Coturnix japonica: one gene and its partners. The protein of the gene in region 3 interacts with the protein of the main gene of each other region in a biochemical or structural test. Links are inferred from orthologs where the notes say so. Each region holds a gene or a part of one and is shown on either strand. Other genes may lie near its edges.

What was found. The genes of interacting proteins can lie anywhere in the genome.
Region 1: the proteins of SIAH2 (region 3) and DLST form a complex in vitro, tested with the Homo sapiens proteins (2 studies listed by BioGRID, with this or other methods). The link is inferred for Coturnix japonica from reciprocal best matches to the Homo sapiens genes SIAH2 and DLST.
Region 2: the proteins of SIAH2 (region 3) and EGLN3 form a complex in vitro, tested with the Homo sapiens proteins (2 studies listed by BioGRID). The link is inferred for Coturnix japonica from reciprocal best matches to the Homo sapiens genes SIAH2 and EGLN3.

What each region holds. Positions count from the first base shown.
Region 1 is NC_029520.1:34,551,465-34,556,098, reverse strand, and holds the start of DLST (dihydrolipoyllysine-residue succinyltransferase component of 2-oxoglutarate dehydrogenase complex, mitochondrial), read right to left. Parts: upstream 3,163-4,634; 5' UTR 3,103-3,162; coding exon 3,034-3,102; intron 1-3,033. UniProt on the Homo sapiens protein: Dihydrolipoamide succinyltransferase (E2) component of the 2-oxoglutarate dehydrogenase complex. The 2-oxoglutarate dehydrogenase complex catalyzes the overall conversion of 2-oxoglutarate to succinyl-CoA and CO(2).
Region 2 is NC_029520.1:32,346,138-32,350,809, forward strand, and holds the start of EGLN3 (egl nine homolog 3), read right to left. Parts: upstream 3,163-4,672; 5' UTR 2,794-3,162; coding exon 2,437-2,793; intron 1-2,436. UniProt on the Homo sapiens protein: Prolyl hydroxylase that mediates hydroxylation of proline residues in target proteins, such as PKM, TELO2, ATF4 and HIF1A. Target proteins are preferentially recognized via a LXXLAP motif.
Region 3 is NC_029524.1:20,988,589-20,993,225, forward strand, and holds the start of SIAH2 (E3 ubiquitin-protein ligase SIAH2), read left to right. Parts: upstream 1-1,772; 5' UTR 1,773-1,881; coding exon 1,882-2,283; intron 2,284-4,637. UniProt on the Homo sapiens protein: E3 ubiquitin-protein ligase that mediates ubiquitination and subsequent proteasomal degradation of target proteins.

The DNA.
Region 1 (4,634 bases), on a different chromosome or scaffold from region 3:
TCTTCATCCCCAGGAATCATTGACCATCTTTCACTGGCACCAAACCTGCAGATCTGGAGAACCAAAACGTTCTTCACAATCTGTAGGAAAATACCACTATACTCATGACTAAAATGCAATTAATGATGGTTTTAACAGCTCCGAGTGTCCTAATCCAGCAGCATATACAGAAGGTAAAAATTAGATGTCATTCAGAACATCTGCTTCAGAATGGAAGTTTATGTAGAAACCCCAACTTCAGTATTACCGGAACAAGAAAAATGCAATACAGCTGATCTTAAATACCAAAATGACTTCTGGAGATGTGTGTCACAGACAGCAGAAACATCAAGGACCAAAGAGATATTTAATCCTGTGTCTTATCTACAGGACTGAGTGATATAACATCCTAAAATACACTCAACAAACACTTCACATCATCAAAACTATTAACGGTTCTGAAATTAGCCCCTGGGCAGTTCAATTATCCAAACTCAAGGATAGATTTGCCTTTCCAGATATTAACGTGCAGTCAATTCAATTGTCTAAAGGCAGGTCGACATGGCTGCAAATCAGCAGTGCTGAGGATGCACAGCACAGCTGCTGAACCAGCAGGGATCTAGTAGAGCCCATCAGCTGCAGCACCACTCCATGCAGCACCCCAGCTTAGGACCAGCGTCCTAGAAACAAAACCAGCAGGGCCTGTGGAGAAGGGAGAGCAAGGTGTAGTGCCATCCTGAGTGCTACACAGCTTAACCCCAGCACTGCTTGCATTGCTCCAGTTCATGCAGAAACAGTGCTAAGTCAGGATCACTAAGACAAACCTCCTGTTAACTGCATCTGGTTGTGTACCTAAAGCCCCATGATTCTCAACACCTGCACTGGTCAAATCCTCCCCAATTTCTGTGACATCTCAGATAGCACTGAAGTTAATCTCAAATAAAATGCCAAGGAATATGAGCTTCCCTCTGTCCATTAATGTTTTCCTGGGAACTGTATAAAGTTGTAAGGGTAATCCAAGCATCCCAGACAGTAACTCATAAAGAAAGAGTACAGACCCAGTGTAAGCTTACTATAAGTTTAACAAGAAGTTTAAAAGGTCCGTGCTAAAGTAAACAGCTGTGAGAAAACACATGTGCAGATCTCCAGGAGATGAGCCAAGTCTGTGTGCTACAGCTGCTGCAATATAAAGAAAAAATGGCACTGTTTTGCCCTACGCAAGAACTGAGAGAAGAGCTCTATCGGTCTGAGAAGCTGTAATGAAAGACACCAAGACACTCTCTGCCTTGCTCTGCCCACCTCTAAGCACAGTGTGCCAGCACTTGCAGCTCTGAGATGCCCAGCAGGCATGTTTCCCCATCCCTTTTTCCCTGAAGGAATCACTGCGATGCCACGTGTCAGATCTTTGGTAGAACAGGAACACTGTATGTTCAACTGGTTGGTGTTAGCACTGTGGGTCAGTATAAAGCAGCTGCACTCACTTGGAGGAACAAGTCTTGTTCTAATTTGTTAGTGACTCACACCACAAGTGATTAATGCTTTCCCCCGGTTCCACATGACTTCTCCGAATTGTTTTTACACTGCTGTTATGTCAAAGTGACCCCAGCACGTGCCACCTCAGGCCACACCTTAAAGGAGCTGTCACCTTCCAGCAGGTCACCACACACAGACATCGGTGCAGCCCATTGCACAGAGCCACAGTGAGAGCCCAGTGCTGAGCAGCTCTGACTGCAGCAATCACTTTGCCAGCCCTGGATCCTGCAAAGCAATGTGGCTGCTGCTCTACTAGCAAGGGTGGATGTAAAACACTGTTCACAGAAAACCCACCGTGTGTCTTTAACACAATTATATATAGCGCAACAAGGCAGATGCAAAGATAGGAGGGAGATAACAATTCAGAGTGGATACAGGGTACAGTTACTAAGACAACAGGCTGACAGCTCCTCCTGCATGTGGAAGGGATCAGCCCGGGAGGAAGTTCTTAATAAACTCTTCCCCAGAGAAACGCGAGGATTTCATCGCCAAAGTAGAGCTGACAGCTCCCATCACACCATCCCTTTCAGAACCTCTTGCTCCTCTTGGCACTGCCTTGGGTCACCACTCAGCTGCAGCATTGGACTCATCTGGACAGGAGCCTCAGTGGCACCTGCATGATTCCAACTTGACATATAAACCTCCTTCTTCTTCCCAAGCACTAAACCCAGCCGTCCCCTCCCTCCACGTGCTGTTTCCTGCTGACTTCACCATTCTTCCATTCAGTTGGACACTTCTGATTTTTGTCCACGTCTGTTGTTTTCACTTCTCCCAGCACAGACCTGCCACGCTCCACTACTCCTTTTACGGCTCCCCCCGGCCCCATGTTATCCCTGCATCAGCACTCACTCTCCACATCCCTACCCCAAGAGATGTCAAGCTGCCACTACATCCTTCACCTCTCACCGTACCGCTTTTCCTCCTCCTCAAGCAGGACACCCACAGCTCACTGCCCACCTGCTGTTCAGCTGCGGCCTCTCTCTTTGCAAATTGCTTTTGAAAACGTCTGTATTCTCCACCTGTTCTGCATAGTTACACAGCACCATAAATGCTGATAAAAAATAACTATTATTAAAGCGACACTTCAACAAGCACGGTAACCACCGTGCCACCACAGCACAGGTTCACCGTTAGGAACGAAACCAAACACACGGTTACAAACCGCTGTCAGTGCGCTGTACAATACGCGCGTGTACCCGTGTGCTTAACGACGGGCACCTGCAATTCCGGCACCACAGCGGCCGCCAAAGGGAAGAGCGGAGCGGCCGAGCCGAGGGCTCCGTCCCGGTCCCGGTTCCCTCGCAGTCCCGGCTCCCTCCGCCCCCTTGGGCAGCCCGCCCCGCTCCCTCCGTCCCGGTACTCAGCACCGAGGCCGCACCACCCGCCGTGCTCCCGCCCCGGATCGGCGGCGGGGCCGAGCCGGTCGCGTCCCGGTGCCCTTGGCGCCGCCGATCCCGCTGTCCCAAGCATGGCGGCCGGCCGCCCGTGGCCGCTCCCGCCGCCACCCGCTCCGGGCCGTACCTGCCGCAGGGTGCGCACCGAGCGGCCCAGCGCCCGGCCCAGGCAGCGCGACCGCCACAGCAGCAGCATCGCGGCGGCGGCGGGAGGAGCTGGAGGGCGGACACCGGATGCAGGCCCGGCGCGAGCCGGAAGCGCTTAGGGCCGCACCAAGTGCTGCGGCGGGGGGAGCCGGGCGTGGCGCCGGGCGGGGGGCGCGGAGCGGGGCGCCGTGCTGCTGTGCCACGGGCCGGCTGTGCTGCACCGATAACGGCACTGACACTGCGTGGGGACCGAGGGCAGAGCTCCGCGTCTGAGCTGTGTCTGTGCTGGCAGCCATGCTGGGCTCCTGGCTGTGCGCTGTTGGTGGGATCCGGGTGTGGCTTGCTGCAGGGAAGCCGTGCTGGTGGGATTCATGCTCACCTTGCCGTGTCCTGCCTTCAGCCCTGCATAGAACAGAGCTGCTGTCAGCTTGACTAGAAATGGGCAAGGAGCTCAGCAGACAGCTACGGGAAATAACAGAACCACAAACCACACACAAGTGAACAAAAATGGGCTAAAAGGTAGAAGGAATAGAGCAAGGCACAGAGAATCTGATGGCTGTCAAACAAGGCAGCTGTGCCAGGAAGGCTCAATGCCAGGGGTGCCTCTGCCGTCTGTCTGTAAGGGGCTGAGACCCTTGAGTAGGGCTGCCCCATGTCAGGCTGCTTTTCACCACAGCCACCTGCCTAATAAAATGAGCATCACAGTGTTTATGAAATATAGATGGCAACCTGGAAATGTCAGAGCCGACTTGGTTTTGTCCAGCTCCAGGAGTTCCATCTGCTCTTGGCCTGGCAGCTCCATCTTGGATGTGCTGGTAGTAGGAATATCCCTAGAGCGCCCTGCAGTCAGCAAGGTACTGACTTTGCACAGCATTGCTGAATATCCCAAGTTGGAAGGAACCCACAAGGATCATTGAGTCCAACTTCTGGCTCCATATAGGACCACCCGAAATTCAAACCCTGCATCTGAGAGCATCCTCTAAATGCTCTTTGAACTCTATCAGCTTGGAGCCATGACCATTGGATAGAGCTCTCTGCTCCTGGGATTGCCTCCTCATGGGCCTCAGCCTCTCAGCTGCCAAAGCACAGCTGAGCTGCAGAGCCTGACAGGCATTGCATAGTGCTCTGCCATGATGGACATGGGGAACTTATGGGCTGCTCAGTCTAGTGCTGGTGATGTTTCAAAAGCTGATCTGACATTTTTGTCTGTCTGAGGTGTTTTGCTCAAGGTTGAAGCTCTGCTTTAAGTTCCAGATGTCCTGCTTATCTATGATAAACAACCTTCCTGAGATGGGATGTTTCTCTTCAAAGATCCAAGACTGCCATAAATTAGACCCACAGGGACAGCATCCTTGAGATGAGGGCACAAGTCCAAAAGAGGAACCAATCAGAACAGACTAAATGTCCTTGTGCCCAAATACGGATAAAGCGAGGAGTGGGATGCCTCCCCAGACCATCACTAAAGACCCCTGTGCAAACGCAGAAGAATTGAATATGTTATATAACCTTAAACTTACATAAACATATGAATATGTAATAGACAGGTGTGACTTATGTATTAGGTAAGTGTATAGTGAAAAC
Region 2 (4,672 bases), on a different chromosome or scaffold from region 3:
GGTACCCTTGTAAAAGTTTAACTTCCATCTACTCTCTTTGATGTAATCTCAACTTTCTTGCAATGTTGTTGAAAGTCATATGGAAACAACAAAATCCTACTCTGACTTATTTCTCAAATGTAGCTGCAAGGAAAGCTTCCTTTGTTGTACAAGAGCCTTTCTTGTCTTCTGACATTTGTTTAGCTGCAAAAAAACAAAACCCATGAAGCACATTACAATAAGCAGATAGTAAGCTTATAAAAGTTCATTTATTAAGAAAACTTACCCTACTTCTCCAATACTTAAGCTGCAGATTAAGGACATACTATTATTTTAAAACCTTAAATATATAAATAATGATGAGGCCAATTCACTTCTACAACAAGGAGTTACCACGTAGCCAAAGACTTACGTTTTCAACAGACTGATCTGGAACTCTTAGCCCTATCTGTCAATATTCATTTCCCAAATCAGTAGATAAAAGCATATCTCTATCTAAGAAGTGGTGGCCCAGTTGCTCAGAAACTTCTCCCTCTAAGAGGTTGTCTGGGCATCTATGTCTGTGTAGAGTTGATAGAACAAAAATAAACAAACACACAAAAATCATACTTTTAAATTCAGCGTATGTGTTCACAAGTCTTCAGAAAATAAGCAAAAAAGGACTGGTTTAATGGTGGAAGGAGAATGTCCATAGGTGACGTGGGAGCCTGCATGTACTGCAGGAGTCATTTGATTAGTCACGGGAATAATCTTCCTGCCAAAGGTGTCCCACATGCCAGCTACAGATGACAGCTGCTACTCCCATATCCATGGCATTTATATTATTAACCTTAAGGGATTTGTTACTCTTAATTTCAGATGGAAATTTCTCTTCATTTAGTTTTGCAAACTGTATGGAGTCCCTTTCAATCTCATGCTGTTGTACAGCATTTTCATGTACTACTTGGAGTCTGATACTTCCCTGATGAATCACAAGGGCCAAAAGACTCACTTGATAGCAAGCAGCTTGGTACTTATTTATAAAACAAGTTCTGTCATGTGTTACTGCTGTGGGCACAAATTTGTGGCAAGACCACAACTCAGTTTCAAAGACCCTACATCCCAAGAGACCCTTCTCCCCAGCCAGCACCAACAGCCCTCCCACACCTAGCTGAGTTTTTCCCCAGATACCTCGCTAACATGCAGTATTGCGCCTTCGGCAGAAGCCAGGCAAACAGAAGTCACCCAGAAAAGGATCTAAGATGCCCTTAGAGGCATGCCCAAGCAGACTAGGTATTTATACCTTCCTACACCACAAATAAGTGAACTCCAATCCACTTTCCTTTTAAACTAAATCTACCCAAGCTTTAACCAGATTGATGGGCAGTTCAGTGGGGCTGCACAATAGAGCCATGCTCCATCCTTATATTTCTCCCATCACTGTGCGGAGGTGTGTGGGGGCCTTCCCACACACAGGTTTTAAGGGGTTCCCAAGAAGTTGGTAAACATGGCATGTTAGATCCTTCATTTTTCTGTTGAGAAAAAAAAGTCTCATCACCAATCACACATCCTTCTAGTTCGTTAGGACCCAACCAAATACTTAACCTTTCATTTGTCTTTTAATTAAAAAAGAAAAAAAAAAAAAACACCACCATTTTTATTTCTAGCATTTCTGAAGAAGACATGGATGTTTTAGAAGTGTGCTACATATTACAGAACTCAAGTCAGAAAAGAATAGAAAAAAGAAACGGGGACATTTTCAATATTCAGGACAAAGAAATAAAGTTAGTGCCAAACCAGCCTGCTTCACTACAGCGAGACGAGGACAGCAAAACGAAGTTAGGCCAAACTTAATTACCAACATGAAAAGGACAAACACATTTCATTGGGAAAGAAATCTACAAAGGCAATACACAGGGGTCCTCTCCATTTCCAAACATGAGAGCCTCGGGACAAAATACGGATTCTCTCCTTCCAAAACAAAAAGTTTGCCTCACTAAGACAGAGCATCCCTTACTTTGTGCCAAATCCCGACGGGAGCAGCTTCAGGTGTAGGACACCGGCACGAACACTGAAACTAGTTAGGACAGCACTGACAAACGGTCGCGAGTAGCCCGATCCAACCGAGCACGGAGGGGCTCTCCGTCCACCTGGACCAAGTCCCTGAAGGACAGTCAAGCCCACGGCCGGGCTGTTCTGGCAGGGTGCTCCCAGCACGACGGTGCCGGGTTCCGCAGCTGGCAAGTGAGGTGACGCCGGGACACAGCACAACGCCACTGACGGACGAGGGACCGGCACCAGGAACGAGGCATCGGGCAGCCGCCCCAAGTGGCCCCACTCCGAGAAGCCGTCCGTGCTCCCCGCTCTCCAGGACAGCGCTCCCGGTGACGCCCGGAGCGACGCCACGGGATCTGCCCGACGGGGCGTCCCCGGGCCGGGAGCGGGAAACCTCCCGCAGCCGCGAGCAGCTCCGCTTACCTTGGAGCGCTCCTTTACGTAGTACTTGCCGAGCCGGCTGCCGCAGTACATCACCAGGCGGTCGATCAGCGTGAGAAGGAAGTTGATGGCTTCACAGCCCTCCTCCGTGCCCCCGATCCACTTGATCTGGTCGCCGCGGAGATGCCGCTTGGCCACACCGCGGCTGGGGCCGGCCAGCTGCCCGTCGGCCAGCTCACCGTCACGGTGCATGCGTTTCACCCGCTCCAGCACGCAGTCGCCCACCACCTCCCCCAAGAAGTTGTCCAGGTAGCAGAAGCCGATGTCGTGCAAACAGGGCACGACGTACTCCAGAGCGAGCCTCTCCAGGTCCAGCCGCATGATGTGCCCCAGCGGCATGGCGCGGCGGGGACGAGCGCGCCGCTGCCCTGCAGGCACCCGCCTTGGGAGGTGATGCCCGCCGGCTCCAGGCCGGGACGGGACTCCGGGACGGGACCAAACTTTGCGGACGCCCGGACCGACCGGCCGCGCTCAGCTCCGTGCCTCGGCTCAGCCCCGCGCCTCGGGGACGACGCCGCCGTCGGAGCCCCGCGCCGATATCGCTGTTACCGCACAACACCAAACCGCTCCCTCGCGACGCCCGCAGCCCCCCAACGCTTTAAGGGGCGGGCGGCAGATGGCCCCGCGCTGATTAATACGCGGGCTACGTGCGGGATGTGTGCTCGCAGCCCGCCCGCTCCCGCCGCGCCGCCGCACGTGGGTGGAGCCCGCCCGGCACGGAGCGCCACGCCTTCACCGCGCCCCCTGCGGCCACCGCGGCCAATGGGCGCCCGGGGGGCGGGTCCTGCCCGAGGGGTACAAGCGGCGAGCAGATCCACACGTGCGAGCGGGGGGCGCGGCCTGCGGGCAGAGGGGGCGGGGGCAGCGCCATTGAGGAATTCTCCGGCGGCATGTCGGCGTGCGGCGTGACCAACAGCGGGTCCGGAACGTACACGGCATTTCTGCCGCTGCCGCTGCTTTTCGGCTCCCGAAGCGCAGTCTCAACAACGGACGCAAATATTTCATATGGGTCATCGGGGCGGCTTCACACGGCAAAGAACACCACACTTCCTGAGATTTAGTTCATAAAAAAGCGCTTCCCCTAATTATTCACCCCACGGGGCTTGTTGCTCTGCTGGCGCTGCTGACAAAGACAGCCCCTGGGCTGGGTTGCCAACACCCCGCTGTACCGCCGGAGCCACACGAGGCAGCCCGTCGCGGCTGAGCTCCACGTTCCATTCAGAGGCAAAGCAAAAAGCAAACAGCGGCCGGGCCGCGATATCGGGACACTGGGGTCACCTAAGTCCGAGCCGAGTCTCTCCCCTCAACTACGTACGGCCATCAGCGCTCCGTGTCCCACAGAGCCACCTCCCAGTGGCCATGGCTGTGACCATGACTGTGACAACGTGCGGTACTGTCACGGGAATCAGCCTCACTTCTGCTGCCCTCCAGAAGCCGGAACCTGTCCGGATTCACCCAAAAGGCAACATCTAGGAAGGACGTTCTTCCCTCACCGTCGGGTCTGCAGTCATAGAACCACAGGATCTTTTGAGTTGGAAGGGACCTTTAAAGGTACATTTATTCCTGCAATGAACAGAGACACTTAAAGCTAGATCAAGGTCCAGCCTGACCCTGAATGTCTCTAGGGACCAGATGTCCACCACATCTCTGGGCAACCTGTTTCCAGTACCTCACCACCGTTATCACACACACACAAAAATTCTTCCTTATAAGTATGCAATTTAAATATCTCCTCTTTTAGTTTGAAGCTATTTCCCCTTGTCCTGTCACAACAGATCCTGCTAAAGAGTCCATCCCCTTCCTTCTTACACCCCCCTTTAGATACTGAAAGGCTGCTCTCAGGTCTCCCCAGAGCCTTGTCTTCTCCAGGCTGAACAGCCTCAGCTCTCTCAGCCTGTCCTTGTAGGAGAAGTCATGCATCCATTGGATCATTTTTGTGGCCTTCTTCTGGACACACTCCAACAGGTCCATGTCTCCTGAACTGAGGACTCTACATCTGGATGCAGTACTCCAGGTGAGGCACAGAGTACCTGCTGATGGTATTCTTTTTGACGTAGCTCAGGACACCGTTGGCATTCTGGGCTGTGAGGGCACATTGCTGGCTCATGTCCAGCTTGCCATCTGCCAGCCCTCTTGAATCCTTTTTGGCAGGGCACTCTAAACTTTCACCCCCCAGCTTGTAGTGATAGTGAGGATTGCTGCGACTCAGGTGCAAGAC
Region 3 (4,637 bases):
GTCATGGTTGGAACATCAGCATGTGTGTATGAGACGTTCTGCTTTGAAACAAAAGGACACACACACGGAGCTGTGCTGGGGACCCCCCTGCCCCACAGCCCCATGTAGGTTTCTCCCAGGCCGGACAAGCACACACACACCACGTCCAAAAACTGCTGATTTCTGTCTGCCCCACTCCGCTGTTACACTCCATTTGTTTGGGGGTGGGGATCAGAAAAGGCCTCTGCACCCCAGGATTTGGAGAGAACCTTGGGGTCCCTTTATTCTCAGAGCTCCAAAGAACTTCCACACCTATGTCAAAGACTCTCAAGAGAGAATGGCAGAGGAAAAGCAGCATGTTGGCCATGTAACTCAAGAGAGGACAGAGCACAGCACAGCTCACCCCACACTATGGCTCGTTCTGGCTTTGCCGTGGCACAGCCTTCAGTGTGTCTGAATGCACTGCACATTACTGAGTGCCAAAGGAAAAATAAAACCAGAGCTGCAGTCAAAGCATTGTTCTCTGGTACCTTGGACTGCATCATCTTGCAAAGCTCGGCAGTGCTTCACAAGGAAGAAAAAAGCAGAACTCCACTAACACTGCACCTCCTTTTAATGAGAGCACGGGCAGTGTCTCAGTGGAACTCCTCGCAGGGCGCACAGCCACCAATGAGTCACACATGGTGCACGCCCGAGCAGCGATAACAGCACCATTCTGGGAAGTGCAGCCACACCTCGGAGGAAAGCGTTGCTCATTTAAGGGCAAGAGGAGTCAAGTCAGCAGCAGAACTCTCGGGAAAATGCTGTATGTCATGTGCCCGATGAGCTGACGGGGAATTCAAACCACAGCCCTGTTCATGGCCGCCCCGTCCGCTGCGCTGCTCAGCGGCACCACGCAGCGCTTTGTGCGCCCAGAGCCGCATCCAGCCCGGCGCAGGGACAGACAGCAACCACGGCAGCGGGCAGGGAAGCGCGCAGCTTCAGCCCCGGCTCTGCCCGCTTCCTTCTTCAGCCCCGCCGGCAAATGAAAGGGACGCGGGGACATTCCCACCCCCGGGCCGTCCTCACTTCTCCTCCGTTACCAAAACACAACGCGTTTAAACCGGTGTTTTATTTTCAACATTCTGTTACGGGGGGGATGAAAACAGCCCCATTTCTTTTACCCGACCTCCGCCCCCAAGCAGCGCTGCAGCACTGTTCCATTCTCCATCAGACCCATCTCTCATCGTTCCGTCCTCCCGCTCGCTCCGCTCTCACGCCCCGTCCCGTCCCCGCGAGGAGCCGCGCTCCTCCGCCGCTGCTCGCGCTCAGCACGGCGGCTCAGCGGTCCTCACGAGGGCCGGCACGGGCAGGGATCGGGCCCGAGCCCACGCGGATAACGGCGCCCGGTGGGTTTCCTCAGCCCCGCGGGGCGTCAGCGCCACCGGCGCCCCTTCATCCCAGCGCGGCCGGACGCGGAGCGCAGCGCCCTCGGTTACCGCAGCGCCCTCGGTTACCGCAGCGCCCTCGGTTACCGCAGCCCCGGACGGGCCCGGCGGACGGAGCCGCGTTCTCTCCCGGCATCGCAGCGTACCGGGCGGGGCGGGGCGGTGCGGGGCACGGTGCTCGGGCCGCCGCTGACCGCTCCCGAGTCTCGCCCGCTCCGTCCTGGCACCGCAGCCGTGGGCGCGGCGCTCCCCTGCCTCCTCCTCCTCCTCATCCTCATCCTCCTCCTCCTCCTCCTCCCCCGCTCCCCCCGCCGCCCCGCTCCGCTCCCCGCCCCGCCCGTCCCCCGGAGCATGCTCGCTGCGGCGGGGCCGGGCCGGAGGCTGCGCGCGGCCGCCTCTTGCGTCAGCGGAGCGTTCCGGGCGGGCGCGTCGGGTCCCGAGAGCCGCGGCCCGATGGTGGCGGCAGCGCGGCGCCATGAGCCGCCCTTCGTCCGCCGGGCCGGGCTCTAACAAACCCTGCGGGAAGCAGCCGCCGCCGCACGCCCCCGCCCCGGCCGCCGCCGCGCCCGCTCCCGCCGCCGCCACCATCGCCGCGTCCGGTGCCGGATCCTCCGCCGTGCCCGCGGCCGCCGCCGTCCTCTCCGGGCCGGGCGGGCCCGTGTCTCCGCAGCACCACGAGCTGACGTCGCTGTTCGAGTGCCCCGTGTGCTTCGACTATGTGCTGCCGCCCATCCTGCAGTGCCAGGCCGGGCACCTGGTCTGCAAGCAATGCCGGCAGAAGCTGAGCCTCTGCCCCACCTGCCGGGGCTCGCTGACCCCCAGCATCAGGAACCTGGCCATGGAGAAGGTGGCCTCGGCCGTGCTCTTCCCCTGCAAGGTGAGCGGACGGGGCGCCGGGTTGGACGGGACCCCCTTTCTGCTCACAGCCCTGCTCCTATTTCAGACGTGACAAAAACAACTCGTTTTCTCTCATCGTTGAAATAAGCGCAAGTGGTAAATGCGCTCGTAGGTACGGAGCTGACTTAATGCGGACACAGGGCGGGACGCAGGGCTTCATCTTTTGGAAAAGAAACCTCGCTCTTCGCAGCTTCCATAGGAGCAGCGATGCTCTGCGTCCCGAGAGCTGGGGCAGGGTTAGGGACACCTCCCTTAGGGAGGGTCCTGCTGAGATCCTTTAACTTGTCACCTCTGCCTGGAGCTGCTGCCCCATTTCTGAGCCTTCTTGTGGTTCTGATCCCTCTGAAGAAAAGGGAATCCAGTGAGGATTCATTTCGCTGTACTCTTTATGTTTAGTCCGAGGGCAAGATGTGGAATCCTTTCTGCACTCCACATCCAACCGTAATGTTTTGCTTTTAGAACCACTAGGCGTAGTGAGGTTGTGTATCCATTGAAAGGGCTCCGGCAGCATCGCACTGAGCGCTGCCCCCTTCGGCCGGGCGCAGGGACAGGCACTGCAGCCTCGGGCCGCCGCTGCTTCGCTGTGCAGCTGGGAGGGAAGAGCAGGGATGGACTCAGCGTGTCATTCCCGGCTCTGCTGCAGATTTCCCCTGCAGCTTCAGACAAGGTGCTTTAATCCCATATACACCCTGCCTTCATTCACTGACCTGGCTCTGCTGAGCACCTTCAAGCTTAGCCAATGTTTTCAGAATGCTTTCAGGCACTCACATTACCTGTAAGGGGAAGTCCAGGGTAACGCGAGTGAAGTGACGTACATAGCAACAACACGGAATGCTAAGTCATTATGTGGTGATGGCTGCAGGGCTGCCTGCTTCCTCTTAGGAAGGTGAATGTGGTGCAAGTAGTGCTGTGACGAAAGGTACTCGTAAAAGTGGAATGCTGGGAGCGAGAGAAAGGCAATGTGAGAGCACGGAGCAGTCACATCAGCTCCGGCATTTGTGGTGCACCAGCACTGCCTGCACCCTGCGCTCCTGCCTCAGGAAGGACACAGGAGAAGTGGAAAAGGTAGAGCCGTCAATGAGATGGGCGGTATCATATGACCTGCACGCAGGGAAAGACCAACAGGCTCTTTGGTTTGAATGAGGATATGGTAAATATCGGTGACATGTGCCAAACAGCATGAAGGCAACAAGTGCTCTGTGTTCCCAGAAGATCTGTGAGAGTCCCTTACAAACCCAGAGCGCTCCGTGAATCTGTTCACAACCTCCTGCTCACCAAACAAAACTGCTGCTGTGTGTTCAGGAGCCAACAGAAGGAGGTGGGTCACAGCAAAGGAAAAACCACAGCTATTTCCTCAGCTCTCTTCCTTGTGTGTTCACCACTGGTCACTTTCTGATACAGGCTGACACTACGCAGACGTTTGCTTTTGCCCATCCAGCAGCTTACATGTTCTTACTGCTTTTCTAACAGGGTCAGACCGAGAGCGGTTCTTCAGCAAAGTGCAAAGCGATTACATTGCCAACAGGGGTATGAATGTAGAGTGAAAACAGCAGAACAGTGAGAGTGGAAGCATAGAACCCAGCGGCAGGGAGCCGTGCTCTGCATGGTGGGTTTCTGCCTGCAGCAGGAGGAGCCCTGGTTGCACCGCAGCACACCTCTGTGCTCCTGTCACAGGTGGATAAATCCTGTCACAGAGGATTAAGCAGCAGAGCACACGTTATGGCTTATAAAGCAAGCTCTGTAGAAGCACAAGGTCTCGTTTCTGTCCCAGCAGTTGTAGCACTGTGCTGCAGTGTGGGTGATTTGGCTGCAGTAAGGAGGACTGTGGCGTCTGCATCTCAGGCATTTCACTCTTTGAGCTGAAACTAATTGTGTTTGCATTTAACCCCAAAATACGCTGTTAAACTTTGATGAATTTGGACTTTGCTTAGTTGAACATTTTACAAAAAGTCTGTCCAGACTTGTGTTTCCCCAGAGATTGTCTTGTTCCTTCAAACATTCTCTCACCTTTGGTCTCAGAGCACAGTCCCTGACCCAAAGAAGCGTCCTACCTCCTGTAGGCAGCCACACGTGGGCTGTGATGGCGGGACCGCATGAGCAGAGTTGCAGAAGTCTCTCCAGCTGTCTGCAGATGGGGGGAGCTGTGCTCCTGCTCAGAGCAAAAGACGCGTTTCTCCTTAGAGGTAGTGAGGAAGAAACGTGTTCAGTGCAGACAGCGACTCGGTGTTGAAAAGGAAAAGCATCCCTGTTTGCTGAAAGCAGATTAACCTTTGGAGGTGCCCGATGACATTAAGAGCAGTCACGCGGTGCTCACTTGTGATGAGCTCTGTGCTC